Sus scrofa: one gene and its partners. The protein of the gene in region 6 interacts with the protein of the main gene of each other region in a biochemical or structural test. Links are inferred from orthologs where the notes say so. Each region holds a gene or a part of one and is shown on either strand. Other genes may lie near its edges. The genes, in order: WAS, ERBB3, FGFR2, EEF1A1, PDGFRB, PLCG1 and LAT.

Region 1 (3,500 bases), on a different chromosome or scaffold from region 6:
TCCCCCACCCCCCAGGGATCCATGGGCCCACTGGGGAGAGGTTCTCACTTGAATCCGCTGGGTGCACCAATATCAGCCTTGCTGATCTTTTTCTTCCCTGAGCGTTTCTTATCACCTGGACCAGGCCCCGGGGTCGGGAGCCCACGGTATCGTGAATTTGTGATGTCTGGGTTCTGGATGTCCACTGTCACCAAGGACAGTGAGCTGCTTCCTTGACCTGTGGGGAAAATAGGGGGACTGAGTCATTGACCCAACCAAGCAAAGCACAGGCATAAGAGACAGGAAGATAGCTGGGAGAATCTCTGTGTCTGATGGTTGTGGAGGGAGGGGGTGAGGGGGTCCAAGTAGGGTTTATGGAGAAGAGTGTGGTTGGGGCCCACAAACCATCCACGCATTCACTGATTCATTTATTTATGTTCACTCACGCTTATCACTTAAGTATCAACTCATTGATTCACTTGCTCATGGACTAATCTGTTAAATTACTTGTTCATTCATTCATTCATTGCTTTCTCCACAGATTGAAATTTTTTTCTCACTTGTAAATCCCAAGATGCTTGGGATTAGTCCTTTTTTTTTATTATTATTAAGGTGTAGTTGGTTTCAATGTTGTGCCATCCACTGTTTGCAATTTTTTTTTTTTTTGGTCTTTTAGGGCTCCACCCATAGAATATATGGAGGTTCCCAGACTAGGGGTTGAATTGGAGCCTATACCACAGCCACAGCAACACCAGATCCAAGCCGCATCTGTGACCTACACCATAGCTCATGGCAATGCCAGATCCTTAACCCACTGAGCGAGGCTGGGGATTGAACCTGCATCCTCATGGATGCTAGTCAGATTCGCTTCTGCTGCATCACGACAGGAACTCCACTGCTTGCAATTTTATGTCACTCATTTATTCACTGTTGAATTCAGTCACTCATTCAGTCAATCATCCATCCATCCATTCATCTATTTATCCCCATACCCATTCACCTGTATATCTTTTTTTTTTTTTTTGTCTTTTTGTCTTTTCCAGGGCCACTCCTGCAGCATATGGAGATTCCCAGGCTAGGGGTCTAATCAGAGCTGTAGCCACCAGCCTACGCCAGAGCCACAGCAACGCGGGATCTGAGCCACATCTGCGACCTACACCACAGCTCACGGCAATGCCGGATCCTTAACCCACTGAGCGAGGTCAGGGATTGAACCCGCAACCTCATGGTTCCTAGTCAGATTCGTTAACCACTGAGCCATGACGGGAACTCTCACCTATATATCTATACACACAACCTGTACATCTATCTATATTTTCATCCTTCCCTCAATTCCTCGTCCTATTCAATCATTTGTCCACCACCAATCCATCTAACTACACATCCATTCACCTACTCATTCACCCACTTATCTCTGTACCCACCCACTTACTCACCCATCCACCCACTCCCCCACCCACCTGCCCACCCAGAGACACAGGGAAGAATCAGCACTCACCCCCTTGGTCTCCACCTGGGTGCGGGGGCACGGGTGGGAGCGCTCCTCTTCTCTCTGGGAAGATGGGATGGGTAGAGAGCCATTGCAATCCTGCCACAGGTTCCTGGGCCGGGCCCTTTTTACTCCTAATTGCACTCGCTAAAGGACTCACCTTCATTGGCTGGTGTGGGTGGAGTGGGGAGCTGGCGCCTGTCTGTGGAGAGACAATTCGACTGGGAACCAGAACCATGATGGGGGCTTTTCCAGCTTCCCACTCTTTTTTTTTTTTTTTGTCTTTCTGCCATTTCTTGGGCCGCTCCCGCGGCATATGGAGGTTCCCAGGCTAGGGGTCGAATCAGAGCTGTAGCCCCCGGCCTACACCACAGCCACAGCCACGTGGGATCTGAGCCGCGTCTTCGACCTACACCACAGCTCACGGCAACGCCAGATCCTTAACCCACTGAGCAAGGCCAGGGATCGAACCCGCACCCTCATGGTTCCTCGTCGGATTCATTAACCACTGAGCCATGACGGGAACTCCCTCCAGCTTCCCACTCTTGCACTCACCTCTGGGCAACCTCTTCTCCTCCCCCAAGGCCTGCTCACCTCCACTTTGCCTCTGATTCCTTTTTTGGATCTTCTCGTGCACCAGGGCCCGGAAGGCCTGGGCCTCGCCCTCATCTGCAAAGTTCAGCCCCGCCTGGCATTCCTGCACAGGCCTGGGGGTCAGCAGCCTTCCAGGTGCACCCTGCCCCCCACCCCGACCCCTTTCCCACCTCCTCCCAGCACCCCGACTGAGGCCCCTGGGGGTTGGGTGGTCTCTTACATCTCCAGCAAAGGTGTGGAAGAAGGGGGTGGGCGTGGAGTAGACCAGCTGTGAGTACAGCTCCTGTTCCCAGAGCAGCCGGCCGGCCTGGAGAGGCAGGGAACATGCTGGCACTGAGGCGTAGTATACAAATTTGGGGTCCTGGGATCTGATTTGGAGCTTTCTAGTTCAGCATCAGAGAGTTGAGGGACTAGATGTCTGGGGCGGATTGGGGTGCACTATGGGAGTCAGATACTTCAGTGAGAGGATTTGGGATTTGGGGGTTTGAAGGTGAGGATTGAGACTCTCAGTCTAGGAACCTGAGCCCCTTTGCAGAATCCATCCTGAAGCCTGCCCCCCTTTATGGGGGGGCCTTCGTTTGGGCAGGTAGGGTGCCAGTATTGGGAACTGGGTTGAGATTTGAGGTTCAGACCTATAGACTTGGGAGGTTGATTTTTGTCTTGGGGGGTAGCCAGCCAAGTTATGTGCAATTTGAGGTTCATAGAGTAGAGTTATGGCTTTGGATTTGGGTCAATATTCGATGGCCCTGGGATTTTTTTTGGGGGGGGGCTAGTGTGCAGCAGCTTGATGTGGGATCTCAGCTCCCAGACCAGAGATTGAACCCGAGCTGCAGTGGTGAAAGCTCTGAATCTTATCCACTAGACCACCAGGGAACTCCCAGCTCTGGGATCTTGATGTGGCTCTACTGAGTCTATCTTCATGGGTTTAGAAGAATGAATTTGGGGTTTATGCTTAGGGAGTTGAGGTTGGGGATTTGTGGAACAGATTTCTGGCAGTATTTGCGTGCTCCGGAGTTTTCACATAGGAATTCTGGGGTCCATGCTGTGGTTTTAACAGAACAAATTTGGAGTTCAAGACTCAATGGCATATTTAGACTGGGGGGTTATGGAACAGATTTATGACTTAGGAGCTAGGCAAAATTCTGGAGTTCAGGAGCTTTGAGTGGGAATATTTTTTTTGTTTTTCTTTTTAGGGCTGCACTCATGGCATATGGAGGTTCCCAGGCTAGGGGTCGAATCAGAGCTACAGCTGCCAGCCTACACCACAGTCACAGCAATGCGGGATCTGAGCCACATCTGTGACCTACACCACCGCTCACGGCAATACTGGATCCTTTACCCACTGAGCAGGGCCAGGGATCGAACTGGCACCCTCATGGATGCTAGTTGGGTTCATTAACCGCTGAGCCACAATGGGAACTTCTGAATGGGGATTTCT
Region 2 (4,099 bases), on a different chromosome or scaffold from region 6:
AAAAACCTGAGTGCCTTCCCCCTTCTGATCATCTTATCATCTCAGCCATCCTCACCAGGTGGCAAATGAATGACCTTGGAATAGTCCCACATTTCCAGCTCTGTAAAATGGAGAGTGATGTCCCCTAATTCACCTAATTTGTATGTTAAGTGAAACGTTCTCTAAGTTGGAGGAAAGGGCTGCAAACGACGTAGTTTCCGTATATATATGTTAATGTTTCTATTACTATTATGACTGTTATGTAAGTGGTCAGGGCAAGGTGAACGCCCAGAGGGCAAAGGTAGCCTCCGCCAAGGAATGGGCCCTCCAGGGCGCATCTCAATACGGAGCAAGTTTAAAGAATTTTAGCCAGTAATCTTGACTCGGGGTGAGAGGTTGAATTTGTCTTAATCAAGGCTCAACCGTTCTTGAAGTCTTCGGGCTTGAAACTCTAGGAGAAAAAAGTAGGCTTTCTGGGCAAGATCCGAAATGCAACGCGGATTGGGGCCTCACTGCCACCTGCTGGGCACCAGGGGGTGCCGGTTGGATCCATTTGAAGTCTGGCTGGCTTGGGGGCTGCCACTCTGGGTGCGCCGGACCGCCTCTGGACAGGATCCGGGGAGCTGGTGGTAGAAGTGCCCGAGGTTCATGACTTTCGGAGACGCAGTGCCCTTTCCGCGTCCCCCTCCACCTCATTTCCAGCGACACCCGGGCACAGAAGGCCTGGGAAAAGTGTGAGCGCCTGTGGTGGGAACGGTGTGCCCATCTGGGTCCCCCGAAGAGCGGCGAGGACCGCGACCGCTCCGACGGCGCGGTCAGACTCTTGTTCAAGGGGAGGCAGCTGTTCTTCCAGGCAGCCGTGGGGGGCAACAGAGGGGACGGCGACAGGTGCGGGAGCCCCTCCCGGGGTGGAAGTGAAAAGGCGGGCTTCGGGGTCTGTTCCCAGGCTGGAAGCCACCCCCGCCCCCCAACCAAATCCCCGGGAGAGGCCCGGCCGGCGCCGGGTCTGGAGGAGGAAGCGGCCGGAGACAGTGCAATTTCACGCGGCCTCTGGGGCTCGGGTTCCTGGGCAGGGTGGATGAGTTATGGGGTTTCGAGGGGGTTTGGGGGAAACTGAGGTGGCCTGAGTGGGCGGCAAAAACACCCTCCCACTCAAAAACACACATGCAGAGAAACATTTACATTCAGATAGAAAATCCCCCAAGTGACCCAACCGGCTAGGGGAGTTGAGTGATTTGGTTGGTGGGCGAGGCCAACTTGCAGGGGGCTGGGCTTTGGAGCGCTCTCCCCACCCCCATTACCTTTCTCCTCGGGAGGCATTTGGGGGCGGCTGGAATCTTGGCCTCTCCTTAGTCCAGCTCCTGGAGAAAAATTAGGGTGAGACCCATCCGCGATCTGCGTGGCCCCAGTTGCCCGGCACTGGAGCTTGGGGCGCGCTCGGGGCGGGCCGCCGAGGCTCCAGCAATCGCTACTCCAGCCTAGCGCCCGAGGGGGCGCGGCCGTGACTCACCCCCTCCCCCTGCGCTCCCTCCTTCGCTCCCTCGCAGACTACACCCCTCCCCTGCTATCCCGCCCCGGACTCCGGCTCCGGCTCCGGTTGCAATTCGCAACCTCCTCTGCTGCCGCTACCAAGTCGCTGGTGGCTCAGGTGGCTCCGCTTCGATGTCCTAGTCCAGGGGCTCCCCCGGCCGGATTGGGCTGGGCTCCCCTCACCCGCCGCTGGAGTCATGAGGGCGAACCGGGCTCTGCAGGTGCTGGGCTTCCTCCTCAGCCTGGCCCGGGGCTCCGAGGTGGGCAACTCTCAGGCAGGTAAGCGGCGCGGGAGCACCGGCAGGCTCGGAACTCGGGATCCCGAGCGGAGCGCGCGGGGTCCGGGAGGGCAGGGGCAGGAACCCGGGCTGTGCTAGGCTGGGGTGCGGAGCCCCGGTCCGCTGGGACCCCTCCTGGGCGGGGAACGTCAGGATCGGGTTCTCGGCGTGGTCCGGGCGGGGAGAGGATTCCTGCACCACCACCTTCCCCTGGGCACCTCCTCCCTGGCCCGTCGCGGACCCTCTGATTTGTCTCTCGGGATAGGGCTGATGCGCAAACATTCACACTTCTGAGGGACCCTGCAGGAAGGGGAGCTAGGACCCCCATTCTGTAAACGTGAGGGCCTGATTGGAGGTGGAGATCTTGGAGGGAGCCGGGCGGGGAGAGGGGGTCTCGGTTTGCACCCATCCTCCTGCCCCCTCCTGCCCCCTCCTGCCCTCCACCACCTCCAGTTTGGTTGTTTTGCCGACAGGGCGGAGCTGTGGAAGGGGTGTGTGTGTGGGGGGGGGTAGGTTGTTGTTCTCTTGTGTTGGAAAACAAGAGCAGCACCTCCTCTTCCGTGAGTGGGTCTGCCCTGGGGAGAGCTGAGATTAACCCCAGGGCCAAGTCCAGGTGACAGCAGGTTGAGAGGCCACGCAAACACTGCCTGCCTCCTTTCTCTCAAAATAATAAAAGTTGGCTGGTTCCAGACTCGACCAACCTGTTTTTAAGACCCCGATCAATTCAACTGGTATTTATTAAGCATCTACTATGTACAAAGCCCTGGGCCAGGAGATGAAGGGGCAAGGACTTCCAGTGGCTGTTTCTCTCTCAGGGCCCACAGGGCTCCTCTCCCATCTTCTGAGGCGCCTGTCCTCCGAGTTCCTTCTTAGACACAGCTTCCCCCCCACCCCCCATTCTGTTTATTGTCTGGCTGTCTCTAGGAGTCTAGACAAGAGTCAGTTTGCTCCACTATTCCTCCTTCTACTCCCATGCCAGCTGAACTCACCCCTTTGGGGTGTCTCTGGGACCGTGGACACCTGAGGGGTGCTGGGGTTGCTGGCATGGGAGGAATCCTGTTGCTCTCCTCCCCTCCCCCCCAGACCTCAGCTTGGGGTTTGGCACAGCCAGGGCCCCTTCCCCAGGGTGGGAGTGGGAGAAACACCTGTGCTTCCCTCACAGTTGCTGGGCCTAAATTTAGAGCCTGGGATCTTGAGATGTGAACACTCCCAGCTGGTGGAGGGTGGGGGTCTGGGGATTGAAGTGGGAGAGACTGAATGGAGGGACTCTATCACTGTCCCATCCAGACCCCTGGAATCTTCAACCCAACCGGGAACCCAGGAGTCCCAGACCCTGGCCACCTTCCCCGAGGGAGACAGGAGGCAGGCATGGTTGGGTCTCTTTACCCTTTATCTGGATCCTGCAGCCTCTGGGCATCCGGCCCTGTCTCAGTCCTTCTATAGCCCCTTTGTCCTGCCTGTGATGGGGGTGGGGGACTTTGGAGAGGAGGCCTGTGGTTGAAGAGGGGCTGGAGATTCTTGCTCTGACCCACCCCAGTGCTCTCTACCAAAAGAGGGCCTGTGACACTGGCTCTCCCAAGGCCCCTGGTCCCTGAGTACAGCAGAGATGGTCTATTTCCCCTCCCCCTCCCCTCCTCCCCAGGCTGCCCAGTTCCTCCTGAGAGGTGTTGTTCATACTCTCTTCCCGCCCAGCCACCCAGCCCTTTGCTCTCTGTTTGTGTAATACGGACTTTACCCTCAGGGAGGCAGGGAACTGGGACATCTTACTCTGTAGCCTCCCAAGCACAGACACAAAGTCTGCACAGACACATATGGGCAGGTGGGATGGATGGGGCCACCTGAAATACTTCCTGATAAGGAAGCCCAAGGACAGAACCAGTAGAGATTTTGGGGCCAGTAGGGGAGCTGTGTACATGTTTGTCTGTGTGTGTGTGTGTGTGTACACGCACACATCCCGCTTCCCTGTGTGGAAATCTTGGCTCCTCCCTTATCAGGGGAGAAGGGTTGGCGCCTTGACTTGGAAGAGAGGGTGTCCTGCCAGGAAGGGGGTTGGGGTGGGGCTTTTCCAGAAATGACTAACCTTCCTAGTCGTTTTCTTTTTAGCCCAAGGACCCTAGCATTCCCAGGCTCCTCTGGGAGCGCCTGGCCTTTTTACCCCTCTGCTAGGTCTAGCTCATCCCATTCCCTTTAGGAGGTGTGACAGGGAATAGAAGGCCTTCAAAGGTCAAGTGGGCAGACTAGGGGTGCATCTTGGAGGAGGGCTTGGGGCCTCACCAATCTCCCTTCCTCCGTTCCCGCTCCTGCCTCCCACT
Region 3 (3,500 bases), on a different chromosome or scaffold from region 6:
TTTTCGCTCCTGCATAACCAGCTTGCTATACATTGCATTGAAAGCGAATGGCTGAAGTCTTATCTTGGGAGCAATGAAATGGGACTTGTTTCTTCTTGTTGTTTTTTAATATCAACCTTTGAATGTGAGTCATGACAAATTGAAAAGGCCAACCTGCTGTCTTCAATGGCAGCCAGCAGCACATTGACTCGGCGAGACGGTGCATCCTCGAATTTGGGATAACAAGGTCAAGGACAGTATCTCATAGGTATCAGTTAGGCAACCAAGAAAATGAGGCTCTGTTGAAGGAGTGACATGGTGCCGATATTTCTCGGAACACCTAGGGCAGAGGAGGTATGATTTCTGCTGCTAGAGCAAATGTCACAGATCCGATCGGCCTGCCAGTGTGTGTGTCTACAAGGGTGCTGATGTGCAGGGGTGACAGGAGTTGTGCAGCCCAAACAAGAGAAACCAGAAGGAACAACTTAAAAACTGGGTGGCGGGAGGTGGGGAGGATAATCTTTACAAGAAATGAGAGCAAGCACTTTGAACATTGTGGGCATTTTTCCATGGCTGCTGGCATCATACCAGCTGCAGCACCAAAGAAAGATTATGATGAATATACCAAGACCACAGAGTTATCCTATAAGCCGCCTTCAGTCTCCCAAAGCACCAAGTCTTTTCAGCTGCTATCATCCAGCCTTCTTTAAAAAAAGAAAAAAAAGAAAAAAGAAAAAAAGAAAAAGGAAAAAAAAAAAAACAACAACAACAAAAAACAAAAACGTTGTTACCTTGCTGTTTTGGCAGGACAGTGAGCCAGGCAGACTGGTTGGCCTGCCCTATATAATTGGAGACCTTACAAATATACTCCCCAGCATCCGCCTCAGTCACATTGAACAGAGCCAGCACTTCTGCATTGGAACTATTTATCCCTGAGTGCTAGAACAGACACAGGAGAACAATATGACGGCCAGCCAGCAAGGATGTCGCAGCACCTAGGGTCCCACCACCAACACACCACAAAAAAAAAACGAAAACCAAACAAAAAAACACAACCTCCATCTCATCTCAACAGCAGCAGACAAGGGCTGTGGGTTTAGAAAGAACAAAATAAGTCAACCGGTGGAGAGCAGAAGTGACCCAGTGGAGACGGGTGGGCGGCTGGGATCAATCCCCGTGCAAAATGGATCCGCAGTTCCCCAGGCTGGTCATCTTTTTCCAGCTTTTTGGATTCGTGGTATTCACAGCTGGAGAGAACACCTCATTGGCTGAGAGTTCTGAGCTGGGCTGGGCTACCTGTGGTTCTACTGGAAGACTGTTCTTTTTAAGGACATTCTCTAGGAGCAGCTCAATGTGGGAGACACGGCAGGCAGCGAACTGAAAAGGATTCGTACACACTTAGCTGCCGCTTTTGCTACCACCATCCTGAAGAGTGAGATCTAAAAATTAAAGATGCTGGTGCTCTCAACACAGGGTCTTGCAAGGAACCAAGTGAGAACTACAAGGGGAAAGAATGAGTCCCTGTGCAACACTGCCCTGGGTAGGAATATCGTCTAAAGTTTATCATCTAAACCATGTGTGAATCAATTGCAAAGGCTAAGGGATTTTGTTTTTTTTTTTTTTTAGGGCCACACCCACAGCACATGGAGGTTCCCAGCCTAGGGGGTCCAAGTGGAGCTATAGCTGCCGGCCTACACCACAGCCACAGCAACACCAGATCCTTAACCCACTGAGCAAGGCCAGGGATGGAACCCATGACCTCATGGTTCCTAGTCGGACTCGTTTCCATCGCACCACGATGGGAACTCCAGGATTTCTTGTAAAAGGAAAATCTAAATTGTTTCTAAAAGGTGGCTACTAAAATTGGATCCTAAAGTCCTATTAGGAGAAAACAAGGTCAGTGTAACAATGCACATGGGTACAAGGCCTGGAGTTTACAAAGCTCTTTCCAGCTCTTCCATCCCACTGACTCTGCGCCATGCCCTGTGGGGCAGACAGTATCCTGATCTCCACTTTAAAGATGCGCAGCTAAGCCTAACCGTCTCATCTAAGATCTCAGGGTCATAAATACGCAGCTCTTCTGACCGCAACTTCAGCAGCCCTCCCCACTCCCCGCACAGCTCCCTTCTGAGATCTTATTCGTGAGCCTACGATCTGCTAATTCCCGAATGCACCCTGTGCTGACCACATAGGAGAGTCATCTTCGATCAAATTCAAAGAACCTGGGGCCGAACCCATCGAGGAGACACACACACACACACACATACACACACACACACACCCGCCCGGTTGTGGGTACCTTTGGGTTCGGGCCATACTCACCTTCAGAACCTTGAGGTAAGGCAGCCCGTCGGGCCCGTATTTGCTGCCGTTCTTTTCCACGTGTTTGATCCACTGGATGTGGGGCTGGGCATCACTGTACACCTTGCAGACAAACTCCACGTCGCCCCCAACCACGGTGGAGGCGTTGGCCGGCAGTCCGGCTTGGAGGATGGGCCGGTGCGGCGATCGCTCTGGTGGAGAAGAGGGGAGGAGAGGGGGAGCGGGGATGGGAGGGGGGCAGAGACGAACAGAACAAATGAGTGGTGTGGTCCAGAAAGCTGCCCGGGAACTCAAGCCAAAAAGGCCTCGAGTCTGCTGGCTGACTCCTTTGAAATAACACCACGGCCCAACGCATAACAACGACGACTTCAAAGCAGACGGCGGGAGCGTGACCCTTGCAAAAGGAATACTTATTTAGAAAACTAAGACCTTATTCCATCTCAAGTCATTTGTGGTCCATGGCCACGGCCACCTAGTGAACAAGGGATAAGGTTTTATGGTGACAATCAAAAAGACCAATGGCGGGGGAAAGAAGGCCTCCTCCCAGTTTCCACTGGGGACGATACCAGAAACTCACCTTGATCATAGGTTGACATCCCAGGGAAGTGACAAGACTAATTTCAAGGTCACCCTGAATTCCAAAATGGCACCCGAATGCAGTGTCTCCTGATACATTTCTAAGATGCCCCGACAAGCCCTCTAATCCCTTGTTATAAAAAGAAAATAGGGAATTCCCTGATGACGCAGCAGGCTAAGGATCCGGCCTTGTCACTGCTGTGGCGCAGGTCGCTGCTGTGGTGCAGGTTCGATCCCTGACCCGGGAACGTCCGCATGCCGTGGATGCGGCCAAAAAGAACAAAAGGGAAAAGAAAAGAAATGAAAAGCCGAAGCCCAAAGGTACGAACAAGTGGTCTCATCTCCTGCGGTGGAACTGACTCCATTCGTGCACGTCCTGCCCCACACTCCCATCCGTGTCCTCGATAAGCAGTGGCTGTGTGCCCAACGCCAGGGGCACAGGCAGGCAGTCCTCAGCTGGCCCAGAGAGAGCACCGAAAGGAACAGAAAGCGACATGGGGCCCCCCAATCCTGGCACCGTCCCAGACCGTCTTTTTTTTTTTTTTTTTGGTCTTTTTTTTTGCTATTTCTTTGGGCCGCTCCCATGGCATATGGAGGTTCCCAAGCTAGCGATTGAATTGGAG
Region 4 (4,225 bases), on a different chromosome or scaffold from region 6:
AGCTTTCTGAGCAGACTTGGTGACCTTGCCAGCTCCAGCTGCCTTCTTGTCCACAGCTTTGATGACACCCACAGCAACTGTCTGTCTCATGTCACGAACAGCAAATCGGCCTATTAAAACAAAAATTAAATCACCATGAGAAACACTTTCTCTACATAACTGCTTTTCCATTTTTACTGAAGCTTAATTACACTAAAAAGGCACTCTTACCCAGAGGAGGATAGTCAGAGAAGCTCTCAACACACATGGGCTTGCCAGGAACCATATCGACAATGGCAGCATCACCAGATTTCAAGAACTTGGGGCCATCTTCCAGCTTTTTCCCAGAACGACGATCAATCTTCTCCTTCAGTTCAGCAAACTTGCAGGCAATGTGAGCTGTGTGGCAATCCAGCACAGGTGCGTAACCAGCACTGATCTGGCCAGGATGGTTCAGGATAATCACCTTAGGGAGAAAATTTGCATTTAGCACATTTTAGACATTTAGACAGTTAAGGTTCTGGCAGTTTAAAAACCTGTCACTGAAGTGTTACCTGAGCTGTAAAGCCAGCTGCTTCCATAGGTGGGTCATTTTTGCTGTCACCAGCCACATTGCCACGACGAACGTCTTTGACAGACACGTTTTTGACATTAAAGCCCACGTTGTCCCCAGGAAGGGCTTCACTCAAAGCTTCATGGTGCATTTCAACAGACTTGACTTCAGTTGTAACATTGACTGGAGCAAAGGTGACCACCATGCCAGGTTTGAGAACACCGGTCTCCACTCGGCCCACAGGGACTGTACCAATACCTGAAGTATTCACAGCACAGCATAATTATCTCGTATGAAGACAAACATCACTGCAACCCATACCAGCTGAGTGTAACGTTCAACTTACCACCAATTTTGTAGACGTCCTGGAGGGGCAGGCGCAAGGGCTTGTCAGTTGGACGAGTTGGTGGTAGAATGCAATCCAGAGCTTCAAGCAGTGTGGTTCCACTGGCATTGCCATCTTTACGGGTGACTTTCCATCCCTTGAACCAAGGCATCTAAAACACAAGATCATCAATTAGTGTTTTCAAACTTATCCCTTCCCAGACTTAAGTTTTGAGAACTCATCAAAACCACTTACATTAGCACTTGGCTCCAGCATGTTGTCACCATTCCAGCCAGAAATTGGCACAAATGCTACTGTATCAGGGTTGTAGCCAATTTTCTTAATGTAGGTGCTGACTTCCTTTACAATCTCTTCATATCTCTTCTGGCTGTAGGGTGGCTCAGTGGAATCCATTTTGTTAACGCCAACAATGAGCTGTTTCACACCCAGGGTGTAGGCCAGAAGAGCATGCTCACGGGTCTGCCCGTTCTTGGAAATACCTGCTTCGAATTCACCAACACCAGCAGCAACAATCAGGACAGCACAGTCAGCCTTTAAAAAAGAAAAAAAGGCCACACCCTGTGAAAACCTCTCCAAAAAGGACAGATCCATGGTTTCGCCAATTTATAGATAACTCAAAATGTTACTCTCAGGAGTTCTTAATCCTACAAACCTGGGAAGTGCCTGTAATCATGTTCTTAATAAAGTCTCTGTGTCCTGGAGCATCAATGATGGTCACGTAGTACTTGCTGGTCTCGAATTTCCACAGGGAGATGTCAATGGTAATACCACGCTCACGTTCAGCCTTTAGTTTGTCCAAGACCCAGGCATACTTGAAGGAGCCCTTTCCCATCTGCAGGGATTAAGAAGGGTTACTCGGTAACTAAACTCCTTAGTCCCACTTGGAAGCAATGCTAGGTTTCACTTCCATCTCCTAAACTTGGCTGGAGTTAAGCCACTTAGCAAACTTTGCAATGTACTAGTTCAAGTCAGATATACACTAGTTTTAGAGAACTACCACTTAATTTGCTGACGTTACTTTACCGACCTCCGCAGCCTCTTTTTCGAACTTTTCGATGGTTCTTTTGTCGATCCCACCGCATTTGTAGATCAGATGGCCAGTAGTGGTGGACTTGCCCGAATCGACGTGTCCGATGACGACGATGTTGATGTGAGTCTTCTCCTTTCCCATTTTTGCTTAGCTTTTAGCGATGGCTTTCACGACACCTAAGACGACAAAAACCTTCTTTAAACTACTGTCCCGACGACCGGAGACTCAGGCACAACCCCAACAGCCAAGGGCAAACTCCAGGGAGCATTAGCACCGGCGCCCTGCGGGCCCTGCCCGGCCTACACCCAGCGAACGGGGCCGCCCCGGCGCCCAGCCCCTCCCCCACCCGGGCCGCGAGTCCCGGGAAGCGGCGCGGGCAGCACCGCCCGGCCCTTTGTGCGCCGCCCGCCGTCCGCGTCCTCCATCTTGAGACCGGGAGCGGCCATCTTTCCGCGCTCGCAGCCCGCCCGGGCGGGGCGCTGGGTCTCCGACCGCCCGCCCCGCCCCGCCGCGGCCGTCTGCCCCGGGACCGCCGGGCACGGAGGCCACCTTGGGCGGCCTCGGCTGGGCCGCCCTGGCAGTAACACGCGGCTGCCGGCCGAACTCGAGCGCGAAGACAGACGGGGCGGGCGCGAAGGCGCGGATCGCACGCGGCGGCCACGGCGCCCCAGCAGGCCGCCACCGGGCACGCGGTAGGGAACCGCGAGAGCGGAGGGCCTCGAGTTCTCCACCTCCCCCCGCCCGCAGCTCGGAATCAGGACCAGGGCGCAGAGCCCTCTACGCGCGGGGGGCCGGGAGGCACGCTAAGGCCGTGGCCACCGGCGGAGGCCATGCGGACGGAGGCCACACCCGTACTCACCTGTGTCCTGGCGGCAAACCCGTTGCGAAAAAGAACGTTCGCGGGGACCACGGCGCTTATATATGGTCCTCCCCCACCCTCGGGGAAAAGGGCGGAGCCAGCACACGACACCACTTTCCCAGTTTACCCCGCGCCACCTCCACCCGGCACCGGTTCCACCGCCGTCCCCTCCCCCCATCTTCGGGGACCGTGGGCGATGTGCGTTCAGCCCACTGACGAGCACACGGCGCCCGGCGCATGCTCCTCTCAACCAGGAGGATGACGACTGCTGGTGGGTGGGAGGCGGGGTCGAGCGCTCACTCGGTTCTAGGTTTAGTGGGAGTTTATCGACGGTCCCTGGGATTTCCCTGGCTGAGGAGAGTCCTCCTTTTGTATGAATTACTCTCCGCACAGCTGGGGGGTGGGGCGGCGGGGAGGCGTCCAGAATCTTCCCTGAACCGGTCGTAGCTTAACTGCAAAGTTGGACCGAGATGGGAGCCCTTACCCGGCAGTACCCCACCGGTCCTCAGTCTTGCGGTCTCGCAGGTTAAGGACTAACCCCTGGAGCCGCTTCCTCTGCCGGGGCTTCTCCACCGCCCTTGCCGTCCGCGCCCCTTCCGGCTGGAGAGGGAGGCGTAAAAGGCCGGGGAACCGCGGCGGCAGGGGCCTCGGGGCGGTCTTCAGGGCCGAGAATCCGCGAGTGGCTCAGTTTGCTGACCAACAGCCTGGCGAACAGGCTCCTGCGCTGACCTCTTGGCTTTTTCCATTCAGTTCTTTTATCTAAGTTCGTTCTACACACCACGTGGTACTCCAGACGTCCAGTTTTTGAGTTTAGAATAGACTTAAGTACTACAGTTTTCTTTACTTCTAATCCTAATTTTATTACGTTTAAGACCCTGAGTGTGTGTCTACCCTCCTATTAACATTTTTTTTCCAGTGTATACTCTTGGTTGCAAGCATGAAAAACCTAAAAAGAATTTTTTGAGTTCAGTGCTTATACACGATCTCAAGTAGAGACTAAGATCTACAGCGCCAGGAAGCTTATCCACCCAATTTACTACTCCAACGTTTGCTGTGAAATCACTGTTTCTCAAAAATGGCCTATCCCATTTGAATAAACGGCTTCATCTTTTGTCGTCCTATCCATTGTGACTGCATTTTAGGCATAAATCCAGGGCAAGACAAGATGAGGCCTTTTTGGTTGGCAATCAGGCAGATATTCAAAAATATTCCTGAAGAAAGAGGAACCTTTATTTTAAATGAGCTAATTACTAGATCGTCTCTTCCACGTGTAGAGCACTACTGCAACTTTTTGAGCCAATCTATCAACAAATATTTGAGAACCTACTATGTGGCCAGAGCTAAGAGTGGCTCCGAAGCATATGCAAAAGAAATACTTCCTTTGGGGGAAGAAACCCACAATCTAATTGGAAAAGGGAAACTAATATATAGAGCAATGGGAAGTAGTTAAAAGCAAAT
Region 5 (3,283 bases), on a different chromosome or scaffold from region 6:
GCAGGGCTGGGCAGGGCCTGGAGGGGACAGGGCAGAGGGCCCCCAGGGGCTCCTTTACGGGAAGTCCCAGCCTGTTGAGGCTCTCACCAGCCTGCCCAGCCCACCTAAGGTCCTCAAAGGTCAAGGGAGCTCAGCTGCCTCCTCCATCCACCGGCAGGAACAGGTTCTCACTCCAGGCAACTCACTTCAAGACCCGCCTCGCAGCGCGAGGACACCCGCACACAGACACACAGCACTGCCTCGGGCGGCAGGTGGGAGCTCTACCTGGCCAGGCTGGGGGCGCCCTCCAGCGGGCCCTCGTCGGCCACCTCGGGCTTGGGGTCGGGCAGGGGGATGATGTAGTCGTTGTCACCCTCGTTGGGCTGCACGGCCGTATAGAGGACGGGGCTGCTGTCCAGGGGGGATCGCAGCCCAGGGAAGCCGGGCAGGCGGGCTTGGGACCGGAGCACAGCTGGGTGGTCGCTCCTCAGAAACTCCTCATCCACCTGCTGGTACTTCTGCTCCCGGGGATCAGACCAGAAGTGCCGTTAGGGGTCGTCGCGCACTCAGACCCTGACCCAACCCGCCCCTCTCGTGTAATAAGGCGCCCGGTGCTCCGAGAGGAAGGACGGCCCTAAGCCACGGGGCTGAGGTGCCCTCGTCCCTGGCCTCTTGCAAGGCCGGGGAGCTCCAGGCCACCGGGGAAGGGGCAGCTCTCAGACCAGCACCCAAAACCCTAGCGCCGCCCACCCGCTCTCCCGCCCCCCGTCACAGCAGACAGGTGCGGGCCCTCGGCCTGCCGCGTCCTCCCCTGCTGGGGCCGCGGAACGGGGACACCCCCCCTCCCTCCCACTGGTCCCAGAGCCATAACCGACGCGGCTGGGAGTGGGCTAAGCCGGGACTGAGGGTGAGGGCTGGGTCTGGGCCTGAGGGCACCTGCATCTCCTCACACTAGCTTCGCAGTCGGGCAGGGAGGGTTTTAAGGCCCCGCTGACTCTGACTGCGTTGGATGAGCCTGCGGCGGGGTCCAAGCAGTCCAGGCCTTAGTGCTCATGCAGCCTGGGGCTGCTCGAACTGGTGGAGGAGCCAGGATTTGGGCGGGGTGCCAAGGCAAGAGGAGGAGGCCGGCTGAAGGGGCTGAAGGCTCTGCCTCCACCTCCCATCAGCTTCCACGTAGGCTTTTACTTCAAAAGTCTCTGTGCTGCTCAAGTAAGCTTCCGGCTCCAGCCCACCCATCATCAGCACCGCCAGGGAGGCCGAGGCCCAGAGAGGTAAAGGACGGTCCCCCAGACACGAGCACGTCTTGCAGGGCCTGGCCCGGGTCTGCTTCTGGACCGGAAGGCTCCATGCCCCACCCGCACCCCGCCTCGACCCACCTTTTTGTAACCCTCGCCCAGGAGTCTCTCGAGAAGCAGCACCAGCTGGGAGAAGGGGGGCCGAATCTCAAACTTCTCTTCCCAGCACTTCTGCATGATCTCATAGCTGGGGAGGGGGCACAGCGGTCAGCGTCGGGGCTCCCGGGACTAGGTGAGGACGGGAGGAGGGCGAGGGGCTCCCTCGGGCAGCCTCCCACCACCCCCGCCCCGGTCAGTGGCTCCCCGGGCCTGACCACGCCTTGGTGAGCCGTGACCCAGGAGGGCCCGTGTGATTCCACTTGAGCCCCGGCAGCCAGCTTGGGGCCTCTCGTGGGAACTACGGTGAAAGCGGCTGGGATGGGATCGTGTGGAGGGTGCCAGCCTGAAAGTGAGGCCAGCACGGAGGACGGCAGGGTCCCGGGGGGACAGAGATTGTGGATGCCGTCATGGGCACACCTGGGGCTGGCTAGACCGAGGGTTTTCTAGATCGCTGAACCTAGACGTGAGTGCCCAGCTTCAGCTGGCAGAGGCGGCTGTCCGTCTACTGCTGGCATCAGAACGGCTTCCCAGAGGCGCCACTTACATCTCATCCGAGGCGTGGGCAGGCTGTGCCATGCGGTAGCCCCGCTTGATGGCGTTGTAGAACTGCTCGTTCATGGGCAGCTCTGGGTACGGGGTGCCACCTGTCGGGGAGCAGAGACAGGAGACACAGGCCCGGGGGTCGGAAAAGTGGCAGGAACCCTCTTCTACGAGACAGGGAAGGGTACGCCAGCCCGGCGTGGGTGCAGGTGCAGTGGCCTTGGCATTGGGAGATGTGGGCCCCCCCACAGGCTCTGGACAGAGCCTGCCTCCCTCCCCAGAATCAGGGACCCAGAGGACGTCACTGTCCAAACCCGCCGAGACTCGGACGGGGTGGCAAAGAGCCCAGAGGAGGCAGGACGCTTGTGAGGGTCACACAGCGACAGAAAGAGGCAGAGCTGGGGCCTGACCCAGGGCCCCGAGCCCGGCCCCCAGCCCGGCCCCCAGCCCGTCCCCGAGCCCGGCCCCCAGCCCGACCAGGACGGAGGAGTGCGCGGCCAGGGGGGGACGGCAGGACGCGCACCCAGGGTGAAGATCTCCCAGAGCAGGATCCCGAAGGACCACACGTCGCTCAGGGTGGTGTAGAGGCTGTTGAAGATGCTCTCGGGGGCCATCCACTTCAGAGGCAGGAAGGTCTGTGGGGGGGGGACACTGAGTGCAGGGGGGGGCGCTGGGGGCCGGGAGGGGAGGGGGGGCCGGGGGCGGGGGCGGCCTGGCAGTCCCCACCCTCAGCGCTCTCTCACTTCCCAGTCCCTGAGGGCCCTCCCAGCTGGTACCCGGGTCCCACGCCCACCCAGTGCTGGCCCGGGGCGCAGGGGGCGGAGCTTGTTCCCCACATGTTGGGGCCAGAGCAGCCCCTGTCTGCGGGGAAGTGCCCAGGGCCTGAGGCTGCTCGCAGAACGGGACCCTTCCCCACCCAGTAGAGACCCTGGGCTGAGTGAGGCGGGGGTGCCTGGGGCTCCCAGCTCTCGGCCCGTGCCTCCGGGGCCCAGCGTGACCCCAGCTCGTGGCAGGTGGGGACATGAACAGAAGGCACGTTTGAAGCACACGCAGCCTGCCTTACTCATCTGTTCTGGCCTGTTGCCTGCGCTCCCTCTGCTCACCTCCGCTGCTGGGGCAGCGCGTCTGGCCTGCTCCCTGCAACCTTCCCAGGACCCCTTACGACGGGGCCCTTGGCCGAGGCCGCAACCGGCAAATCCCAGCCGCCCCACCACGGCCCTGGCACCTCTGCCCCACCCACCCCACTCCGAGCACAGCTGGGGACGCCCGTCGCCGTCCCTGCACACAGCGCTGGGCGGGCCGACTGTCCCTGCCTACCCGGTCGGGCCACCAGGAGCCCTGCCCTGCGGGCCCACGAGCCGCAGCCACAC
Region 6 (3,500 bases):
AGCACGTAGCCGCAGTGCCCGCCGGCCATGAAGAGAGCCTGGTTCATCTGCATCGGCTTGTCTGCAAGAGTCGGGTTACAGGGTGGACTCCAGCCCACCTGCCCCCCAGGGCCCCCACCCCTCGGGCCACCTCCTCACCTGGGGTCTGGAAGTTGAGGGCCACCAGCTGACTGCCACAGATCCACATGGGCAAGGGGTCATAATTGGAGGAGTCCAGCCGCTGGCCCTTGGGGTAGATGCGCGACAGCTGCAGCCGGTTGTACTGGAGGAACTTCTTGCCTTTGGCCTTGTTCACATACTTCTCAGCCTTGGTTTCCGGGAAGGACGACATGTCCCGGTAGCAGGCGCGTTCTGTGCCGATCTCTGCGCCAAAGAGGGAGAGGGCTTACGGGGCCCGTCCTCCCAGGTGCTGCTGGGGCTGCACCCGCACCCCACCTGGGCCAGAGCCTTACTCTCTTCATCGAAGGGAACAGGCCGGCAGTAGACGACGAGCTCAGAAAGCTCCAAGGCGATTTTCTTCCTCCGCTCCATCATCTTCCCCTCTGTGAGCTGATGACACACAGGCCCTGAGCCAGGCGGGAGACCTCCCCCCACCCCCCGGGAAAGGGGAGCCCTGGGCACACCCACCTGCCCCTTCCAGACCCCATTCCCTGTCCTCAGTCACATCTCAGAACTGTCCCCTCTCTTCCTGCCCCCCGAGGACACATGCCCTGCCAGACTTAAGAGGGCACACCTGTGCTCCAGTAACACCCCAGGGTCCTGGCTGACTGTACCCCCAGCCATGCTCTGTGGCCACTTAGTACCCAGCCTCTCTGAGGAACAAAGGTTGCCTCCTGGTTTTCTTGTGACTTCACTGGGGACTCGGGTTTGGTCTTCTGTGTCCTAAGAACCTTCCTTCCACCTCTCCTGGCCCAGAAGCTCACCCTCAGTTCCCCTCACTCAACACAACCACCTGCTGGCCACAGCCAGACTTCAGCTTGGGAAGCCCACTCCTAAGTGCCCCCGGAAGGCCCATTTCCTTCCAGACGGGGGGACTCATTCTCCGACTCTTCCTTCCTTCCCAGACCCCAGGATCCATCCCTGCAACCACTTCCTCCTTCCAGGCTCCGCTCTTGACAAAATCCTTAGCACCCACCCCTCTTGGCCAAGCTTGAGCTGTCCTTGTCCCAAAGCAGCCCCAGGTGTGTACTGTAGTCCGAGCACCCGACCCCAAATGACAGGGGTGGCATCAAACAGGCACTCCCGCAGGCTGGCGCCTCCCCCTCAACCCCAGGCTCAGTGGACGAGCCTCCCTGCTCCCGAGGCTGCGCCCTGGCCTCCCACACTCTGTGATGCCCGCCCAGCCACTGCCTACACGGCTGCTGCCAAATCCCACGGGCGCTCTCAGGCTCTGCTCCGCAGCCCTCAACACATCAGACCCTGTGCCTCGCCGGCCCACCCTTCCCAGCCCCTCGTTCTCCACACCCACGTCCTCCAACGTCACGCCCTGTTCCTGTCCCACACCACGTTGCCCCTAAGCCCTGGGCACCCACTCCGGCTTCCAGCCCAGATTCATCCTCCACCTCTGCCCCTGTCATCTAACTGCCCGCTAAGCAGAGCCACCTGAGTGTCCCATGGGTGCCTCCAACTCAACACATCCTCAGCCTGCCACACCGCCAACCAGGCGTGAGTTTCCTCTGCTCCCAGCCTGGCGCAGGGGCTGCACACCCCAGGCTCCTGTGGTCTGAGGGCCACCAGCAGGCTCTCACCCTGGCATCCGCGGTCTGGGCCACCTCTCGGATCTTTTTCACCCAGTCCTGCAGCTCCTCCTGTGAGTCAGCAGCCACATCCAAGGACCAATGTGCCACCGACGCCATGCTGATGGAGAAGACGAAGAGCCTGTTGTTCTTGCCCTCAGGACGGATGGCTGGGAGGGAGAGAAGAGCAGAGCTGAGGACACATGTGCCTGGGTCCCACCCCACACCCCGGGCACTGGCTCCAATGAATTCTCTCCCCCCATGGGGAGGGGGTGCCGTCTGCCAGGCCCCTTTCACAACCGAGAATGGCTGCATCCCAGCACTAAGTCCCTGCCACCCTGACCACGTGCTGTGCCCCTCCCCACCCTGCTTCCAAGCCTGTGTCCCACCCCGGGACCCGCCGTCAGGTGGGACAGTCATCCACAGTGCCTGCAAGGGACGAGCAGGCAGGGGCCACAGCCAGGGGTGACAGAGGGAGCGGTGGTACCCAGGGATGGGGAGATCTCAGAATGAGAGCGGCCTCTGGGGGTCTGGCCTTCGTCCCTTTCCCTCAGGGCAGGAAGAGAGCCACCAGGGGCCTGACCCCAAGGGGCAGTGCACAAGAGAGCGAGCCGGGGGCTCACCTATCTGACAGGCTGGCACATCCAAGACCCCCCGCAGCAAGTCCCCCAGGGGGCTGTTCTCGTCCAAGTGCTGTGGGAGGCAAAGCAAGAGAGTCAGCCAGTCTGCTGTACACATGTGGGAGGGGCGTCTGTGCGTGTGAAACACACACCTGACACGGGTACGTGCGACCAAGGCTCCACGGGGCCTGAAGGGACCACCTACGAGGGGGCTGTGCGCACAGGCACCCCGATGCCACGTGTGCCGGGGATCTGCCCCACCCACACGGCTCTGCTCTCACCTCCCTCTCGGGCTCCAGGGCCGCAGGGCTGACCATCTCTTCCACGTAGTTGGACGGAAACCACAGCTGCTTCTTCCCACCATAGTCCCCCCGCCACCTGTGGAAGCCATAAAGGTGCTGACCCCCAGCCACCACCCCAAACTCCCGCGCAGGCCCATGGGCACCCAGGACCCCCGCCAGCACCAAGGCTCTCAACCCGGGGCCACCTCACCAGCCTCCCTCCTGCTTCTCCACGTTCTGGATGATGGCGCTCTTGGTGAAGGTCAGCTCGTCATCTCTCTGGGCCTTGTAGTCGAAGAGCGCTTTGACGGCACACTGCGGGGAGAGGCGCGCTGAGCACGGCGGACAGGCCCTCCCTGCTCCACCTGCGCACACGCGTGTGCCTGGGCTCGGCTGTCACTGCCGGAAACCCGCCCTCGTTGCAGTCCTGGCCCTGGGCCTGCGGGAAGCTCCATGGGGTCTGGGTGGAACCCTGAAGCCCCTGCCCCGGGCGTCAGGCTGGGAGGCTGGGAAGGGAGCGTCTGTGGGTGCTGAGTGCCTCCCCTGAGACCAGGGGACCTTGGGGTGTGGCTGGGACCCCGCCATTCCTCCTCTGCCAAGTAGGCAAGAGACTCCCGCAGGCTCCCGGGCTGCCGAGGAAAGGGGGTGAGGGCAGAACACAGCTCCTCGTCCCTCAGAAGAAAAGGCGAAGCGAGGAAGGTCCTGTCTGACAGACCCCCCCCTGGAGGTGTGGGGGCGGAGCGGCAAAAAATGACGTCTTCTGGCCAGCGTGCCCCCACCCTGTCCTGCTGCCGGCCCAGGAGGAAAGGGGGCTCACCCCAGGGGCAGTCGGGAAGAGTCAGGGCTGACCCCCAGGGACAAGG
Region 7 (3,975 bases), on a different chromosome or scaffold from region 6:
ACTAAAGCAGTGAATTAAAACAGGGCCTGTGGTACAGGAAGGGCTGCCAAGCTTCTGTTAAAAAAAAAAATAACTGTACCGATGGGGCAAAAGAGGGCCAGGCGGGGAAGGGCCAGGCTCCAAAGCAGCTGGGAATTGTGTGGTTTAATAGTAATACGTTAAAACACATAACACTCTTAGCAGGGCACATAGGACGCCCTTGACAATGTCAGCTCTTATTTATCATGACTGTACTTCATGATAAATAAGAAATACACCCAGGAAATATGATGATTATATCCAGGCACCCAGGAAATATGATGGATGAACGAATGAGTGAATGGATATAAGTGAATATAAGCCCTTGGACAGAGAAGTCTGGGGCTCAGGAGAGAGGAGGTGAGTTAGGAATCTGGATGGCAAATGAAGCCGGGTGTGGACGTGATGGCCCAAAACAAGTCGAGAGAGAATACAGGAGAGACAGAAAGGCGGGTAACGGGGCACTAATGATGATGAGACCTCGACAAAAGCCTCTAACAGGCAGGATGAGACTAAAATGAGAGAAAAGCAGCCCAAGGGAAATTAAAACAATCCAGAAAGCAGAAGAAAACGAACCCCCACAACCCCCCTCAAAAGACCACCTACAATCAACATCCTTATCGAATTACGAGATGATATTGCCTTCGTGAAACAAGAACAGGAGGCTATGAAAAAGGAACATTCAGAGATGAAGAAAGGTTTTGGACAGGCCAGACAAAATAAAAGCATAGAGTCCAAAGAAGAATCAAGTCAAGGAAATCTCACAGACAAGAAAGGGAAAAGACAACGAGAAAAGAGGAGAGAAATGGTAAGAAAATCAGAAGATGGGAGCCGGAAGTCCCCTATCTGAAGGACAGACGTGCCAGAAAGAGAGAAGAGAGAAAATGAAGGGGGAGCAGGCATCCAGGAGGAGAGGGAAGAGCCAAGGGCTCGCAGCCCAAGGGCAGGGGGTGGTCAGACGGCAAACTCACTGGAAAAGGCGCTGTCTCGGAGGCCGGGCTTGTTGGACGCAGGAGCTGCTGGGACCGTGGCGCCAGTGGCTGGGACGCTGTCGGGAAGCACCACCCTGAGGAAAGTCAAGGATGGGGTGAGCAAGGACCCCCCGGCTTCAGCCCCTACCTCCCACCTGGCCACTCACAAGTAGCCCTCGTTGTGATAGTCTTCCTCATCCTCGTCTTCGTCCGCATCCTCACAGACTGGCTCTGGGGGGAACGACACAGGGTCAGCAGAGCCCAGGGCGGGCCCTGGCCTCCTCCCAGCCAGGGCCGCCAGGATCGCAGACGCACCCTCGTTCTCGTAGCTGGCCACACTGTTGGCTGCCAAGAGAGCGCGAGAGGGAAATCAACTCAGCTCAGGCGGGCCTGGGCTCTGCCCAGCCCCAGCCCCTGGGCCCCGCGCCCCGCTTACCACCATCTGAGTCCTGCCGGGAAGAAGGCATGCGGTGGGAGCCTCCGGGGGGCTGCGGGGATCGCCTAGGAGTCAAAGGTCAGTGGTCATGCTGGAGTGGGGCTCTGGGGCAAGAGGGACTGCGACAGGCTAAGAGGCCCCCATTCCAAGGAGGCAAGGGGCCGCAAAGGAGGATTCAGAGGGAGAGAGGCTACTTACGGGATGGGGAGCAGATCTGGCTGGCTCAGGGGTGGGTAGGAGGTCATAGGCGGGTAGGAAGTGGCTGGTGGCCAGGGGGCAAGTGTGGCTGAGGACACAGGACCAAGCTGAAGAAATGACTCCAAACATCATGCCCTTTACCCGAGTCATGGCCTCAAAGGGCAGACTGACCCCCAACACCCCTAGGCCCTGGGGTGCCCCCATCTCCTCCCCATCCCCAGCTCAGGTCAAGGCCATGTGGGCAGCCATAGGGGGGAACTAAACAAAGGCACATACTCTCCGGCACCAGGGGACCCTCTCCCCACACCCGAAGGAGGGGCCCCACCGTGTACTTACGAGGCCGCTTGATCACGATGCTACTTGGGGTCAAACTAGCGGGAGAGACACGGCTTGGCTAAGTGGCTGCCAGAGGCCCCAGCCCCCGCCCCAGTCCCCTCGGGCCCACCGTGGGTATTGAGGGAGACACACACACACTGGGTCACCTGGGCAGACTCACCTATCGGGGGCAGCAGTGTCATATGAGCCTGGGGAAGAGAGGGCTGGTGAGGCAGGAAAAGGGGGTGACGGGGGCAGAGGGAGAGGGACCCTGGGGTGCTCGGCGTCTCCGAAACAGTTAGAGACGATTAAAGAGGGATGAAGGGGTTGGGGAGTGGGGTGAGGATCCCTGGAGGTGGGGGGTGTCTGGGCATCCAATCACCCCACCAGCACCCACTCACCTGGCAGCTCTCGGCAACGCACACACAGTGCCATCAGCAACACGGCCAAGAGGGGCAGCAGCAGGAGGCCCAGTGCGTAGGGGATCAGGCTGACCGCCTCCATCTGCAGGAGGGGGCTTGGACCTGGCCTAGCTGCTCGCTGCACAGCCCTCAAGAGCAGAGCTGCTGCAGGGCGAGGGCCAGGCCAGCAAAGGGGCAGGGGCCAGGCGGGCACCAGGCTGGGAGCCTGGTAGAGGGGCAGCCGCGCCCCCTCCCCTCAATGGGCTGAGTGGGCGGCAGCGCCGGTTCTGGAAGGCCCTTGACCCCAGGGAGGTCAGGCCAGGCTGGGCTGGAGTCTGGGGCACCAGGCGCCCCTATACAGACCCTGCGCCCCAGCCGTACCTGCCCCTGGGCTCTGCGCCCGCCTCTCTCAGCGCCTGCCCGCCTGCCTGCCTGCCTGCCTGCCCGCGGCAGGAAGCTGTGGTAAGCGCCGGGTGAGGGCAGGAAATCATCAGGGCTCCTCAGCCGGCTGCACCCGCCCCCTTCCCACCCCCACCCAGCCAGAGGGGAGGGGAAGGAGGCCTCAGGAGCCACCACCCCCACCACCGGGCCCTCCAGAAGGGTCTTCTGGTCTCCGGACAAGAGGCAGCTCACAGCAGGGAGAGAAGGGGAAGATACTTGCAGGCTGTGGCCGCCGTGGCCTCCACAGCCAAGGCTCAAGGAGGCAGCGAGGAGGGAGGCTCAGACAGCGGGACCTCTGAGGGGCACAGGGCAGTGCCCACCCCCACCTCGCCCTGGCCGGCCTGCCAAGGGCGGGCGGGCTCCAGGGAAGACATGGGCGTGACTCATGGTCACACGAGCCAGCTCACTCCACCCCCTCGTTCACCAGCCCAGAAGGACAGGGATTTGCCCAAGGTGCCACAGGAGTGACCCAACGGCCCCTGGAAAACTGGGTCTAGAAAGGGGGCGTCCCCTGCCATCCAGAGGTCAGAGGTCACTAGCACCCAGAGAGACTCCAGCAGGCACTTGGGGTCTGGCTACAAATTTTATTCAGTTACAAATAGCACCGAGCCCCTGGGGCTGCTCCAGTGGGGATGGGGAGCATCCCCTCTTGGCTCCCCATGTAGTGCGTGGGAGCCGGAACATGGGCCAAGCCCCTCCTAAGAAATGGGCCAGGCTGAGAGCTTGGGCCCAGGCCCCTCCTGGGTGGGCCCGGGGCCAGCCGTGGTGGGTGTGCAGGTAGCAAGCGGTGACCCCCCCTCAGATGAGCACACTGGACACGGGGACCCGGGTGGATCGGCCTCGCTGGGGCACCACGATTCGGTCATCGGCAGGCCCGGCCTCAAACAACAGACCTGCCGGGAAAGGGAGCAGAGCCAGGGCTGGATGCACAGACAGACACAGGGCCAGGAAGGGGACACACAGGCAGGGGCAGATGGACGGGGCAGCAGAGCCACCCGTGCTACGGACACAGAGGAGCATCAGCTTGTGGAACAGCAGATGCGACGCCCGAGGAACAGGAGGGCTGTGGACTGAGAGCTGCCAGGTACACGGGGCCAGGCGGGCGGAGAGATGGACAGACAAGCAGGGGGCATCGTGAAGTTAGACGAGGGGCTGTGGACAGACAGAGGGGAGGCCCCACTGACCCTGTACGTGC

Evidence for each region.
Region 1: the proteins of PLCG1 (region 6) and WAS form a complex in vitro, tested with the Homo sapiens proteins (2 studies listed by BioGRID). The link is inferred for Sus scrofa from reciprocal best matches to the Homo sapiens genes PLCG1 and WAS.
Region 2: the proteins of PLCG1 (region 6) and ERBB3 form a complex in vitro, tested with the Homo sapiens proteins (2 studies listed by BioGRID and IntAct, with this or other methods). The link is inferred for Sus scrofa from reciprocal best matches to the Homo sapiens genes PLCG1 and ERBB3.
Region 3: the proteins of PLCG1 (region 6) and FGFR2 form a complex in vitro, tested with the Homo sapiens proteins (2 studies listed by BioGRID and IntAct). The link is inferred for Sus scrofa from reciprocal best matches to the Homo sapiens genes PLCG1 and FGFR2.
Region 4: the proteins of PLCG1 (region 6) and EEF1A1 form a complex in vitro, tested with the Homo sapiens proteins (2 studies listed by BioGRID, with this or other methods). The link is inferred for Sus scrofa from reciprocal best matches to the Homo sapiens genes PLCG1 and EEF1A1.
Region 5: the proteins of PLCG1 (region 6) and PDGFRB form a complex in vitro, tested with the Homo sapiens proteins (3 studies listed by BioGRID and IntAct, with this or other methods). The link is inferred for Sus scrofa from reciprocal best matches to the Homo sapiens genes PLCG1 and PDGFRB.
Region 7: the proteins of PLCG1 (region 6) and LAT form a complex in vitro, tested with the Homo sapiens proteins (2 studies listed by BioGRID and IntAct, with this or other methods). The link is inferred for Sus scrofa from reciprocal best matches to the Homo sapiens genes PLCG1 and LAT.

Annotation. Positions count from the first base shown.
Region 1 is NC_010461.5:42,784,597-42,788,096, reverse strand, and holds part of WAS (wiskott-Aldrich syndrome protein), read right to left. Parts: intron 2,370-3,500; coding exon 2,283-2,369; intron 2,166-2,282; coding exon 2,063-2,165; intron 1,671-2,062; coding exon 1,629-1,670; intron 1,532-1,628; coding exon 1,478-1,531; intron 218-1,477; coding exon 49-217; intron 1-48. UniProt on the Homo sapiens protein: Effector protein for Rho-type GTPases that regulates actin filament reorganization via its interaction with the Arp2/3 complex. Important for efficient actin polymerization. Possible regulator of lymphocyte and platelet function.
Region 2 is NC_010447.5:21,472,919-21,477,017, forward strand, and holds the start of ERBB3 (receptor tyrosine-protein kinase erbB-3), read left to right. Parts: upstream 1-1,299; 5' UTR 1,300-1,706; coding exon 1,707-1,788; intron 1,789-4,099. UniProt on the Homo sapiens protein: Tyrosine-protein kinase that plays an essential role as cell surface receptor for neuregulins.
Region 3 is NC_010456.5:131,219,002-131,222,501, forward strand, and holds part of FGFR2 (fibroblast growth factor receptor 2 precursor), read right to left. Parts: intron 2,493-3,500; coding exon 2,302-2,492; intron 919-2,301; coding exon 771-918; intron 1-770. UniProt on the Homo sapiens protein: Tyrosine-protein kinase that acts as a cell-surface receptor for fibroblast growth factors and plays an essential role in the regulation of cell proliferation, differentiation, migration and apoptosis, and in the regulation of embryonic development.
Region 4 is NC_010443.5:92,420,526-92,424,750, reverse strand, and holds the start of EEF1A1 (elongation factor 1-alpha 1), read right to left. Parts: upstream 2,801-4,225; 5' UTR 2,768-2,800; intron 2,085-2,767; 5' UTR 2,050-2,084; coding exon 1,906-2,049; intron 1,711-1,905; coding exon 1,531-1,710; intron 1,410-1,530; coding exon 1,113-1,409; intron 1,030-1,112; coding exon 879-1,029; intron 791-878; coding exon 534-790; intron 446-533; coding exon 211-445; intron 111-210; coding exon 1-110. UniProt on the Homo sapiens protein: Translation elongation factor that catalyzes the GTP-dependent binding of aminoacyl-tRNA (aa-tRNA) to the A-site of ribosomes during the elongation phase of protein synthesis.
Region 5 is NC_010444.4:151,158,536-151,161,818, forward strand, and holds part of PDGFRB (platelet-derived growth factor receptor beta), read right to left. Parts: intron 2,549-3,283; coding exon 2,437-2,548; intron 2,018-2,436; coding exon 1,918-2,017; intron 1,462-1,917; coding exon 1,356-1,461; intron 498-1,355; coding exon 265-497; intron 1-264. UniProt on the Homo sapiens protein: Tyrosine-protein kinase that acts as a cell-surface receptor for homodimeric PDGFB and PDGFD and for heterodimers formed by PDGFA and PDGFB, and plays an essential role in the regulation of embryonic development, cell proliferation, survival, differentiation, chemotaxis and migration.
Region 6 is NC_010459.5:43,837,503-43,841,002, reverse strand, and holds part of PLCG1 (1-phosphatidylinositol 4,5-bisphosphate phosphodiesterase gamma-1), read right to left. Parts: intron 2,953-3,500; coding exon 2,849-2,952; intron 2,735-2,848; coding exon 2,638-2,734; intron 2,430-2,637; coding exon 2,360-2,429; intron 1,907-2,359; coding exon 1,749-1,906; intron 550-1,748; coding exon 453-549; intron 364-452; coding exon 139-363; intron 62-138; coding exon 1-61. UniProt on the Homo sapiens protein: Mediates the production of the second messenger molecules diacylglycerol (DAG) and inositol 1,4,5-trisphosphate (IP3). Plays an important role in the regulation of intracellular signaling cascades.
Region 7 is NC_010445.4:18,637,817-18,641,791, reverse strand, and holds the start of LAT (linker for activation of T-cells family member 1), read right to left. Parts: upstream 2,801-3,975; 5' UTR 2,443-2,800; coding exon 2,340-2,442; intron 2,148-2,339; coding exon 2,120-2,147; intron 1,995-2,119; coding exon 1,960-1,994; intron 1,712-1,959; coding exon 1,624-1,711; intron 1,491-1,623; coding exon 1,426-1,490; intron 1,335-1,425; coding exon 1,157-1,334; intron 1,085-1,156; coding exon 990-1,084; intron 1-989. UniProt on the Homo sapiens protein: Required for TCR (T-cell antigen receptor)- and pre-TCR-mediated signaling, both in mature T-cells and during their development.